Ovis aries: one gene and its partner. The protein of the gene in region 2 purifies or fractionates together with the protein of the main gene of each other region. This does not show direct contact. Links are inferred from orthologs where the notes say so. Each region holds a gene or a part of one and is shown on either strand. Other genes may lie near its edges.

Region 1 (4,801 bases), on a different chromosome or scaffold from region 2:
ACGTGGCTCGTGTCCAGCCCCACCTGTCGGCCTCCCTGCAGGCAGCTGCCGGGAACTGGAGGCAGCAGCGGACGTGGAGGCGAGGCCAGCCGTGCTGTTGATCTGCCTCATGGTGGGGACGCAGCCTTGAGGTGCCCCACCAAGCTCAGATCCCACTCGGAGCCCCCGCCCCCAGGGGTCGAAGGGCACAGGTCGCATTCGCCTTAAGTCTCATCAGCCAGCCTACAGGGGAGGGGCCGCGCTGGGAGCGCTTCTGTGGAAGGATATCATCCGCGCCGCCTCGGCCTCACCCTCCGCCTGCACGATCTTCTGCCGCTGTTCCTGCTTTGCCTTCTCCACCAGGAACTGTGCGCGCTGGGCCTCCTGCTGGGCTGTGGCGGGAGAGAATCGGGGTCACGGGGACGCGAGGCACCGGGAACACCGTCGCGCCTGCCTGCTTCCTCGGACGCCCTCGCTTGACTCACCCACTTGTTTGGCTTCCACAGCGGCCGTGTACTCGCGGCTGAAGCTCAGCTCGGTGATGGCTACGTCGTCCAAGATGAGGCTGAAGTCCTTGGCCCTCTCGGTCAGCTCCCGTCGGATCAGCAAGGACACCTGGGGGGCGGGGGCGGGGGCGGACGGGAGAGGGGCATTGAGGGGGCCGGAGAACTGAAAGGAAGGCGTGCTGCCGTGACCATGGGAATCCCAGATCTCCAGAACACCGCAGGGGCACACTGAGGCTCTCCGACTTCCTCACTGAGCCTGCAAAGCTGGAGAGGCCTCGGTCACACGGACTCCTAAGCTCCACTCTTTCCAAAACCGTGTGTGCGGGTCTAGACCACGGTTCTCCCTCCCTGCCTGACACTAACCAGGCCTGGCCCTCGTTCCCCACACTGGCCATCAGCACGGCTTTTTGGGTGTATAGGACCTCAGGTTACAGTCCTTTCCTAATGGGCTGGCTTTCCTAAAAGCCCGTCCACGAGGCTTTGGAGGGAAATGCTGATGCTGTGGGAGGGAAGGGGAGCTGGAATCAGACCTGGGCCCGCTGGGTGATCAGCTGGGAGGCGTTGAACTTGGCCACCACGCTCTTGAGCACCTCGTTGACAATGGACGGCAACACTCGCTCCTCGTAGTCCAGCCCCAGGCGCTGGTACATGCTGGGCAGCTCCATGGCATTGGGTCGGGACAGCACCCGCAGGGAGATGTTCACCATCTGCAGGTCTAAGAAAGAGGTCAGCAGTGGCTGGGCGAGGCTACGGGGGCTCACCTGGCCTCTCGGCAAAGCCGCCCTGCCTAGGCATTTTCTCCTGTGCGTGCTTCCCTGGCTACCTAGGGCAATGCCCTGTGGCCCAGAATGGCCTTGGGCGGAGAGTAAGGAGGCTGATGAGAGGTGACTCAGCACAGGCCAAGTGCATACTTGTCCATGGTCAAATCTCCTCTACCCATGGCCTCTCCTCCAGAAAAGCTTTCTTTTATTTTTGACGCTTCACTGTAAGTTGTTACATTGTATGGTTATCGCCAGTCTCCTGAACTAGACAGTAAGGACTGGAGAACAAAGACTGTTTTGTGGATACTTTACTCTTAAGGCCTAGGGTTTTGGGAATTTAAGAAACCTTCACTGAAGATAACGCAAAAAAGTACATTACAGGTGAGCTACTTGCCTCATTGTGTGTGTGTGTGTGTGTGTGTGTGTCTGTGTCTGTGTAAGGTTGATCTGGGGAATCTCAAAGGCACATCTGTGAATGGTGTAGGAGGGAATAGGTGAGACCAAGTTTCCCCAGAACAGAATGTACCAGTAGATTAATAAATCAAACAGTTAAAGAAAGGTTTTAAAGCGAGGCTTTGACCTAGGTAGTGAATAAGACAAAAGACAAACAATGCTCTTATTGAGTTTACACTAGGGGGAGGAACACTTGAAAACGAGCAAATGCACAGCATGTCCAGAATATACTGCTTTAATCCCTGGAGCAGGTGCTTTTATTACACCTTGTTTGCAGAAGTGGAAGCCAAAGCCCAAGAGATCTGACACCACGATCTTCCCCAGTCTCTGACCAGGCTCCCGTGTTTACTGTCAGGGATGTCCCAGTGCCCAGACCTACCTTTGGAGCCTGTGGGGGAGGAAATTTTTCGGGGTCTGGCCCGAATGTCGTAGATGATGGGGTACTGGAACCAGGGGATCCTGGAGGGAAGGGAACAGGGATAGGGGTTAGGAAGCTGCGATTTCACTAGTTCTGCCGTGTTTTCCTTCACCACGTGTTTCTTGACCTGCTCCTCCTCTTAATGACCACGGTCAAGGAGAAACTGTCTTCTCCCTTCAGAAAACAACAGTATGTGCTGCTGGAGATTTGGGCAGCACCACTGTTCGGGGAGATGGGGTGAGAAGGGGAAAAGGCAGCGCTGAATCTCGCTGTCAGTCTTACTACAGGTACTGGTGGGTCGACGTTCAAGGGTGATGGGTCAGGGTCAGTCAGTTCTGCCCGCCATTACCTGAAGTGAAGGCCCTCGGCCAGAATGGTGTCCTGCTGCACGCCTCCGATCCGATTAAAGAAAATGGCTCTGTGCCCTCCTTCCACTGCAGGGAGAGGGGTGGGAGTCAGTCCAGGCCGGGCTCAGAGTACGTGTCAGCTTCTGGTGGGGCGGGGTGAGGGGCTGGGTGAGCGCGGGGCCTCGGTGGGGCTGGGGCTGGGAAGGGGTCCTGGGAAGGGGTCCAGGGAAGGTTGGTGGGAGTCCGGAGAGCGGGCGCAGGTTGCTCACCGGTGAACACCGATTCGCGGATGCCGTAGGCCACGGCCCCGGCCCCCAGCAGTAGCTTCAGCGCCGTGCCCATGCCCCGCGGCCCGGAGGGCAGCCGGCCCGCTAAGTCCTTCAAGTTCTGGGCCATGTTCGGTCCTGAGGCCGGCGGCACCAGTGGTAAGAAGGGGGTGCCGGCCCGTCTCTACCTCGCTCCCGCTTAGGGATGGCACCCTTCACACGAGGGTCCGGGCCCCAGGTGCTCGCGGGAGAAAGGGCACCGGAAGTGCGCTCCTTTCTAAACCCTCCCCGCAGCCAACGGCGGACCGGAACTGGACGCACAGGAAGTATGCATCCGGAAGTCCAGCCCCTTTCTGGAACCCTGCCCTCCCAGAGAGGCTTCGCGAGCGGTAGACCTCGAGCTGTCTCCATTTCCGAGCGCCCACTTTCGAAATGGCAGACGGAAGGAAGCTGGAGATTGGGGCGAGCTCGAGGCCAATTTAAGGACGTTACACAATTTCCGATACGGATGCAAGATGGCTGCGCCCAGTGGTGCATTCCAACCTCGTGAGCGCCGGGCTGCGGAGCAGGAAGAGGACTGGGATGCTGTGGCGCCCAAGCGGCCCCGACTTGGGGCGGGTAGCAAGATCGGAGGCCGTAGGCTCATTGTGGTGCTGGAAGGAGCCAGTCTGGAGACAGTCAAGGTAGACTTGGACTAGGAGATGGAGAGCTAGTGGATCGATAGGATGGGATCCGGTGTGGTGAGGGTGGTGGGCTCAGGGGGTGATGGATGGAGAAAGCAGAGACGGGTGAAACATGCTTTTGGAGGAGTGGCCTAATCGACTGCCTCTTCGTTTAACATCCTGAGTTGGTAGTACTCGTTTTCTTTGCCCTTGAATCTCTGTGCGGCTCACATCCTTGCTTCCGATTGATTTACCAGGATTCTGTGATAATCCTAACCCCAAAGTCGTCTTAGGGGAGAGGTTTCGTCCTTCGTGTCGTTCCTCGGTTCATCCCAAGACAAGTTTACTGGGCAGAGGTAATTACTATAGCTCAGTCAGTCAGTTCAGTCGCTCAGTCGTGTCCGACTCTTTGCGACCCAATGAACCGCAGCACGCCAGGCCTCCCTGTCCATCACCAACTCATGGAGTCCACCCGAACCCATGTCCATTGTGTTGGTGATGTCATCCAACCATCTCATCCTCTGTCATCCCCTTCTCCTCCTGCCCTCAATCTTTCCCAGCATCAGGGTCTTTTCCAATGAGTCAGCTCTTCACATCAGGTGGCCAGAGTTTTGGAGTTTCAGCTTTAACATCAGTCCCTCCAATGAACACCCAGGACTGATCTCCTTTAGTATGGACTGGTTGGATCTCCTAGCAGTCCAAGGGACTCTCAGGAGTCTTCTCCAACACCACAGTTCAAAAGCATCAATTCTTTGGTGCTCAGCTTTCTTTATAGTCCACCTCTCACATCCATACATGAGTACTGGAAAAACCATAGCCTTGACTGGACCGACCTTTGTTGACAAAGTAATGTCTCTGCTTTTCAATATGCTGTCTAGGTTGGTCATAACTTTCTTTCCAAGGAGCAAGCTGCTTTTAATTTCATGGCTGCAGTCATCATCTGCAGTGATTTTGGAGCCCAGAAAAATAAAGTCAGTCGCTGTTTCCACTGTTGCCCCATCTATTTGCCATGAAGTGATGGGACCAGATGCCATGATCTTAGTTTTCTGAAAGTTGAGCTTTAAGCCAACTTTTTCACTCTTCTCTTTCACTTTCATCAAGAGGCCCTTTAGCTCAGTCAGCCCACCCTTTTATTTGTAAGGACTTAGTGTTTAGATTCGTTGAAACATGTCTGTCATTCTCCTTTATTACTACTATACATTTCAAAACACTGCGTGGATCAGGTTATCAGTACATTCACGTCTTTATTTTTACCTATCATTTGGCTCTTCTCCCAAATAAATCTGGAAGTTCCCTCTTAAAACTTTATGCAGTGTTCTCATTCCTTTTGACATTGTTTCTCTTGCCCTTTAGAGCTAAACTTGTTCATTGAGTAGAGCCAGAAGAAATAGCACAAGTTGAGAAGTCAG
Region 2 (4,588 bases):
GCTGATTGATGAACTCAAAGCTTTGGAGACTCATGTTGAGTGTGTTTGTCATCCCAAAAGAGCAGAGTAAGATCTCTGTTACAGTATCTAATTCCTGAACCAAACTCAACCCACAGATAGCCTTCCAAGGGCTGTTTAGTTCATAGACTGAAACATTCTATTTTGCTTTAAGTATGCTTGAATTTTTTCGTTTTGTCTCCTGAATCCAAAATATTTCTCAATCATCCTGCCCCTAAAAGAGTAGCTGTGGCATAACCAACTATAATCCCCCAAAGCAGGCGCTCTAAGAGGATCCTGAGGGCACAGCTAAGAGCCCAGAGGAGCAACCGATTCACTTGCAGAGCTCAGGGAAGCCTTTGTATGTGAGCTGAGGCTTGGGAGTCTGGAAAGGTAAGCCGTGGCAGGACTAGCATGAGCCCAGGCCAAGGAAAATACAGCTCACAGAATGTACAAGAGAGGATATGGTTTAATGGGGACCGATGAACCCCTGCTGTGAGGGCGCCAGGAAAGAAGGCTGGGGCTAGATTCCAAAGAGCATTCTAAGGAATTCACACTTTACTCTAGAATAACAGTATGGGGATTGAGGAGTGAAAAGCATTTTATAGCAAAAAAATAAAAATCTGGAACAGTGGAAAATGGACTGGAGTGGGAAAGAGAACAGGAAGCCATACCTTCGTGTCTTTGTTTCTGCAGCATTCTCCCTCCAACATACCCTCCTAACAAGCTAATTACAGGGAGGAAGCATTTTATTCATTTTTCTCTTCCCACCGCTCAGTACAGAGGAGGTCTTAATAAATCTTTGCTACACAAGCAAAGAAAAGAAGAAACCCACAGCTTACCCATTCTTCAAGTCCAACTGACTTCAAAAGCCCACCAACTCATACCAGTACCCCCACCCCCAACCCCTGACCTCACATTCACTCCCTCTACTTTGATCTGTTTTCCTGGTTTACTCCTTCCAACCTGCACAATGAATGCTCCGCACCACTGTTATTTAACTGTTTCATGCACTCCCATCTCTTGCTGAGAACGGCCCCTGGGAAAAGAACCCCATTTACTCTTCCCATCAGGCTGAACTCCAGGCTCTGCTCACATTATCTAGCTGCCTCAGCTCCGGGCTTTTTCTTCAAGGACCTAAACTAGGTAACATTGCACTTTAACTTAACAAGATGTAGAGTATCAAAATCCAAACATTAGAAATGCTAGATTCCTCTCCTCTCCCATGCTATCTAAATCTGCTTAACTTACAGCAAAATAATAACAAGAACACGTAAGAGCCTGTCTAGAGTGCAGTCAGGACCTGCTAGATTATGTTACCCGAACATCTGTGACCTTTCATTTGAAGCCTTTGAGAATCTACCCCATCACTCGACTGAATGACAATGGCAATGCAAAAACAGTACTGTGGCTTTAAGAGCCTTGCTGCTCACTTGTGTATCTGGTCCATTTTTTCCCCCCTTCTAACAGTAAACAAATGGTCAAGTTCTGATTCTGCCTACAAGATAAACTTACTAGACAACATTCTAGAAAATTTTGTGATGACAGAGGTTAAAAAAAAAAAAAAGTGATGGTCTGTGCACACACACTCAAACATATGTGAATTCAGATCTTCTAAATACTAACCAAGATGCGTAGAACACCAACAGAATTCTCCATTTAGTAGAAAACCTGCTAACGGCCCTTCCCAGGCTGTACCACAGCAGAGTGTCATGACAAACACTGATAGCTTTTTGGTTGAGAGAGAAAGGTATTCAATTTTCTGTTTTGACTGGGTGGCAACTGAGGAATCATATCCAGGCTTGGGGAAGGCCAGGGGCCCACAGAGCTGCCCTGGTTTCTTCTTGGCCCTTCCTTTCCTCCCTCCTCAAGCATCACTATTACCCCCAAGTACGCTCCTGACCCCCCTGAATTTCCATCCAGACAATTTTGATGGCCCACATTCTTGCCTAATTGAATGTCTTGCGTTTTCTCCGAGGTTGAGTTCTACAATCCAAGTCTGACAATAAACACAAATTTGCTACCTGGAACTTATTTCAGTGCTTGCAGAGTTCACAAATCTAAAATCAAATCTGTCTGAAGGGCAGACAACAATGGAATTGCAAGAGGTAACGCCACCCCACCTGTATGTTATTTTCCATTTACAATAACCACGAAAGCTAATACTTAACAAGCTGGCCTCTATCAGGAAAAAGCAAATAAGCTGTTCCTTCCTGGTTACACTCGCCAAGGTACTTGAGACCGCGGTTGACGGTTCTACTTCCCTCTAGCCCACAGGCGCTTTGGAATCAGGCCGGTGTTTTCCCACCGGCTTGTGATCCGAACTCGGAGATGGGTGACCGTCGTCCGCCGTGCAGGGAACGTGAAGAAAGGGGCCGCCAGGAGGGGAGCTCGGCGGTTCCCCATTAAGGTTTGGGAGAAGATCAAGAGACCAGAAGGTAGGCGGATGGATGTACACGCCCGAATCCAAATTTGCACATCACCCATCAATTCGCCGAGGCAACTCTCGCAATCGCGCGAAAAAGCATCTGTCACAGCTGCTCAGCGAAAGCCCCCTGCCAGCACCCCGCAGAGGGGCCATCACAGCCCTCCCCGGCGCGGCCCTCCGGCGGCGGCGAACAGGACCCGCCGGCAGGTGCCCGGCGCCCCGCTCGGCGCGCTTACCCAGGGCCCAGGTGCAGCTCTCTTTGATGGCTTTGTACTTGCTCCCGGACGCCTCCTTCTGCAGCTTCCTTAGGATCTCTTCCATCTTGACCTCTGCCGCGGGCCAGCAGCCGACGGCTAGGGGAGCGCGCGCGAGGCCCGGCGGGGACGCCGCCGCCACCGCAGCCCGGCCCTGGGCGCCTGGGCGGCCGCTGCGCTCGCCCGGCTCCGGCCCGGCGCGGCGGCGGATGAATCACGCCCGCTCCATGCCGCCGCCGCGTCAGGCCCGGAGCCCCGCCCGCCGCCCCGCCCGCAGGGTCAGGTGCGCCCCGCACGCCGCGACGGAGACGGCGCCTGGGGCGCGGAGGCCGAGACCTGGGGCGGCCCCCGGGGCACAGAGGCTCGCGGAGCGCTGGTGACGGGTGTCCTGGGCCGGCTCGCCGGCGGGGCGTTGGCCGGGCTCGGCCCGAGGGAGCGTCTGGCGGCGGCGGGCAGCGGGCGGGGAGGAGCCTCGTCGTTGCCCCCGCCTCCCCCTCCATCCCGGGCGGGCGGGGTTGGGGCTGCTCGGCTTCGGCTAGAGGAGCCCCCCCCACCTCCGGCGCCTGGTGGCGTTGCGCCGCCCGCGGCATCCCGCGGTCCAGGCTCCTTAGTTCTGGGCCGCCCTCGGTGCCAGGCTCTGGCGCTACCTGTGAACAGACTGATTCTGCCCAACCATGTACTCCACATCATCTCACGTGTGCGTGTGTGGGTCATGGTAGGATTAATATCCCTGTTATTCACCCGTTATACAGGAGGAAATCGGGCCCAGAGAGGTTAAGGTACTTCCCAAACCAACAAAATTTGGACTCTTGAATCCAAACCCTTTAAAAAATTTTCTCCTCCTTCCCTTTCCAATCCTCTATTGACCTGAGTTGTTATCCTCTGAAGGAAAAAAAAAAAAAAAAAAAAAAGGGTGGGGTGACGGCGCACAGGGGATCACGCAGCAGAGAGCTATCCAATTTAGGTGTGTGGGTGGGAGAGGGTGGACAGAGAAAGCTTTGGCGATGAAGAAGCTTCAGGCAGAACTGGGAGCGGACCAGGGTGGCCGGATGGGGGAAGGCAGCCTGAGGCAGAGTCTCAGATCTTAGGAGAGTGCTTCAGTCACTTCAAGCCCTTCACTGATGGAGGCCCTAGGAGGGATGTTGGAGGAAAAGGGGAGGGGAAAGCAGGAGTCTTATTTGGAGTCTCTCCCCCCACCCCCTTGTGAAAGCTGTGATTGGGAACTCAGAAAGGATTCTGGACGCTTTTGTTTTTCTTTAGAAATTTAGCTGTAGTGGTACTGAGGGAGGGAAATTGCAGAGGAGCCGACTGCAGAGAGCCGGACATGACTGAGCGACTAAACTGAACTGAACCGAGACTGGCAGCTAGAAAAGAGTCGAAGATTCTTCAGTGATCTACAAATAAATTAAGCCAAGGGCAGGTGGAAAGGAATAGAGGAAGATATAGCAAGAGATCTTTGAACTGAAGCAGTAGGATTTACTGACTGATTGGCATGGTAATACATGGGATGACTTCGAGGTTTATTATCTGGGAAAATGGGAGGGTAATGGTCCTGTCTTGTAAGTTAAAGAAGAAAGGAAGAGAAGGGTTTGGAATCCAGGGAGTATATGAGTTCAGTTATGAACAATTTCAGTTTGAAATGGCAATTAGGATATCCATAGGGTGTTTGGGGCCTCCCTTGTGTCTTACATCCATACATGACAACTGGAAAAACAATAGCCTTGACTAGACAGACCTTTGTTGGCACAGTCTCTGCTTTTGAATATGCTACCTAGGTTGGTCATAACTTTCCTTCCAAGGAGTAAGCGTCTTCTAATTTCATGGCTGTTATCACCATCTGCAGTGATTTTGGAGCCCAAAAAGATGAAGTCTGACACTGTTTCCACTGTTTCCCCATCTATTTCCCATG

What was found.
Region 1: the proteins of ARFGEF3 (region 2) and PHB2 purify together in Homo sapiens (affinity purification with western blotting; 4 studies listed by BioGRID). This does not show direct contact. The link is inferred for Ovis aries from reciprocal best matches to the Homo sapiens genes ARFGEF3 and PHB2.

Annotation. Positions count from the first base shown.
Region 1 is NC_056056.1:209,333,692-209,338,492, reverse strand, and holds the start of PHB2 (prohibitin-2), read right to left. Parts: upstream 2,998-4,801; 5' UTR 2,861-2,997; coding exon 2,734-2,860; intron 2,552-2,733; coding exon 2,467-2,551; intron 2,159-2,466; coding exon 2,079-2,158; intron 1,201-2,078; coding exon 1,016-1,200; intron 595-1,015; coding exon 465-594; intron 372-464; coding exon 268-371; intron 222-267; exon of another isoform or gene 1-221. Other genes in the region: EMG1 (ribosomal RNA small subunit methyltransferase NEP1), read left to right, coding at 3,246-3,413.
Region 2 is NC_056061.1:63,245,234-63,249,821, reverse strand, and holds the start of ARFGEF3 (brefeldin A-inhibited guanine nucleotide-exchange protein 3), read right to left. Parts: upstream 2,929-4,588; 5' UTR 2,747-2,928; coding exon 2,662-2,746; intron 1-2,661. UniProt on the Homo sapiens protein: Participates in the regulation of systemic glucose homeostasis, where it negatively regulates insulin granule biogenesis in pancreatic islet beta cells. Also regulates glucagon granule production in pancreatic alpha cells.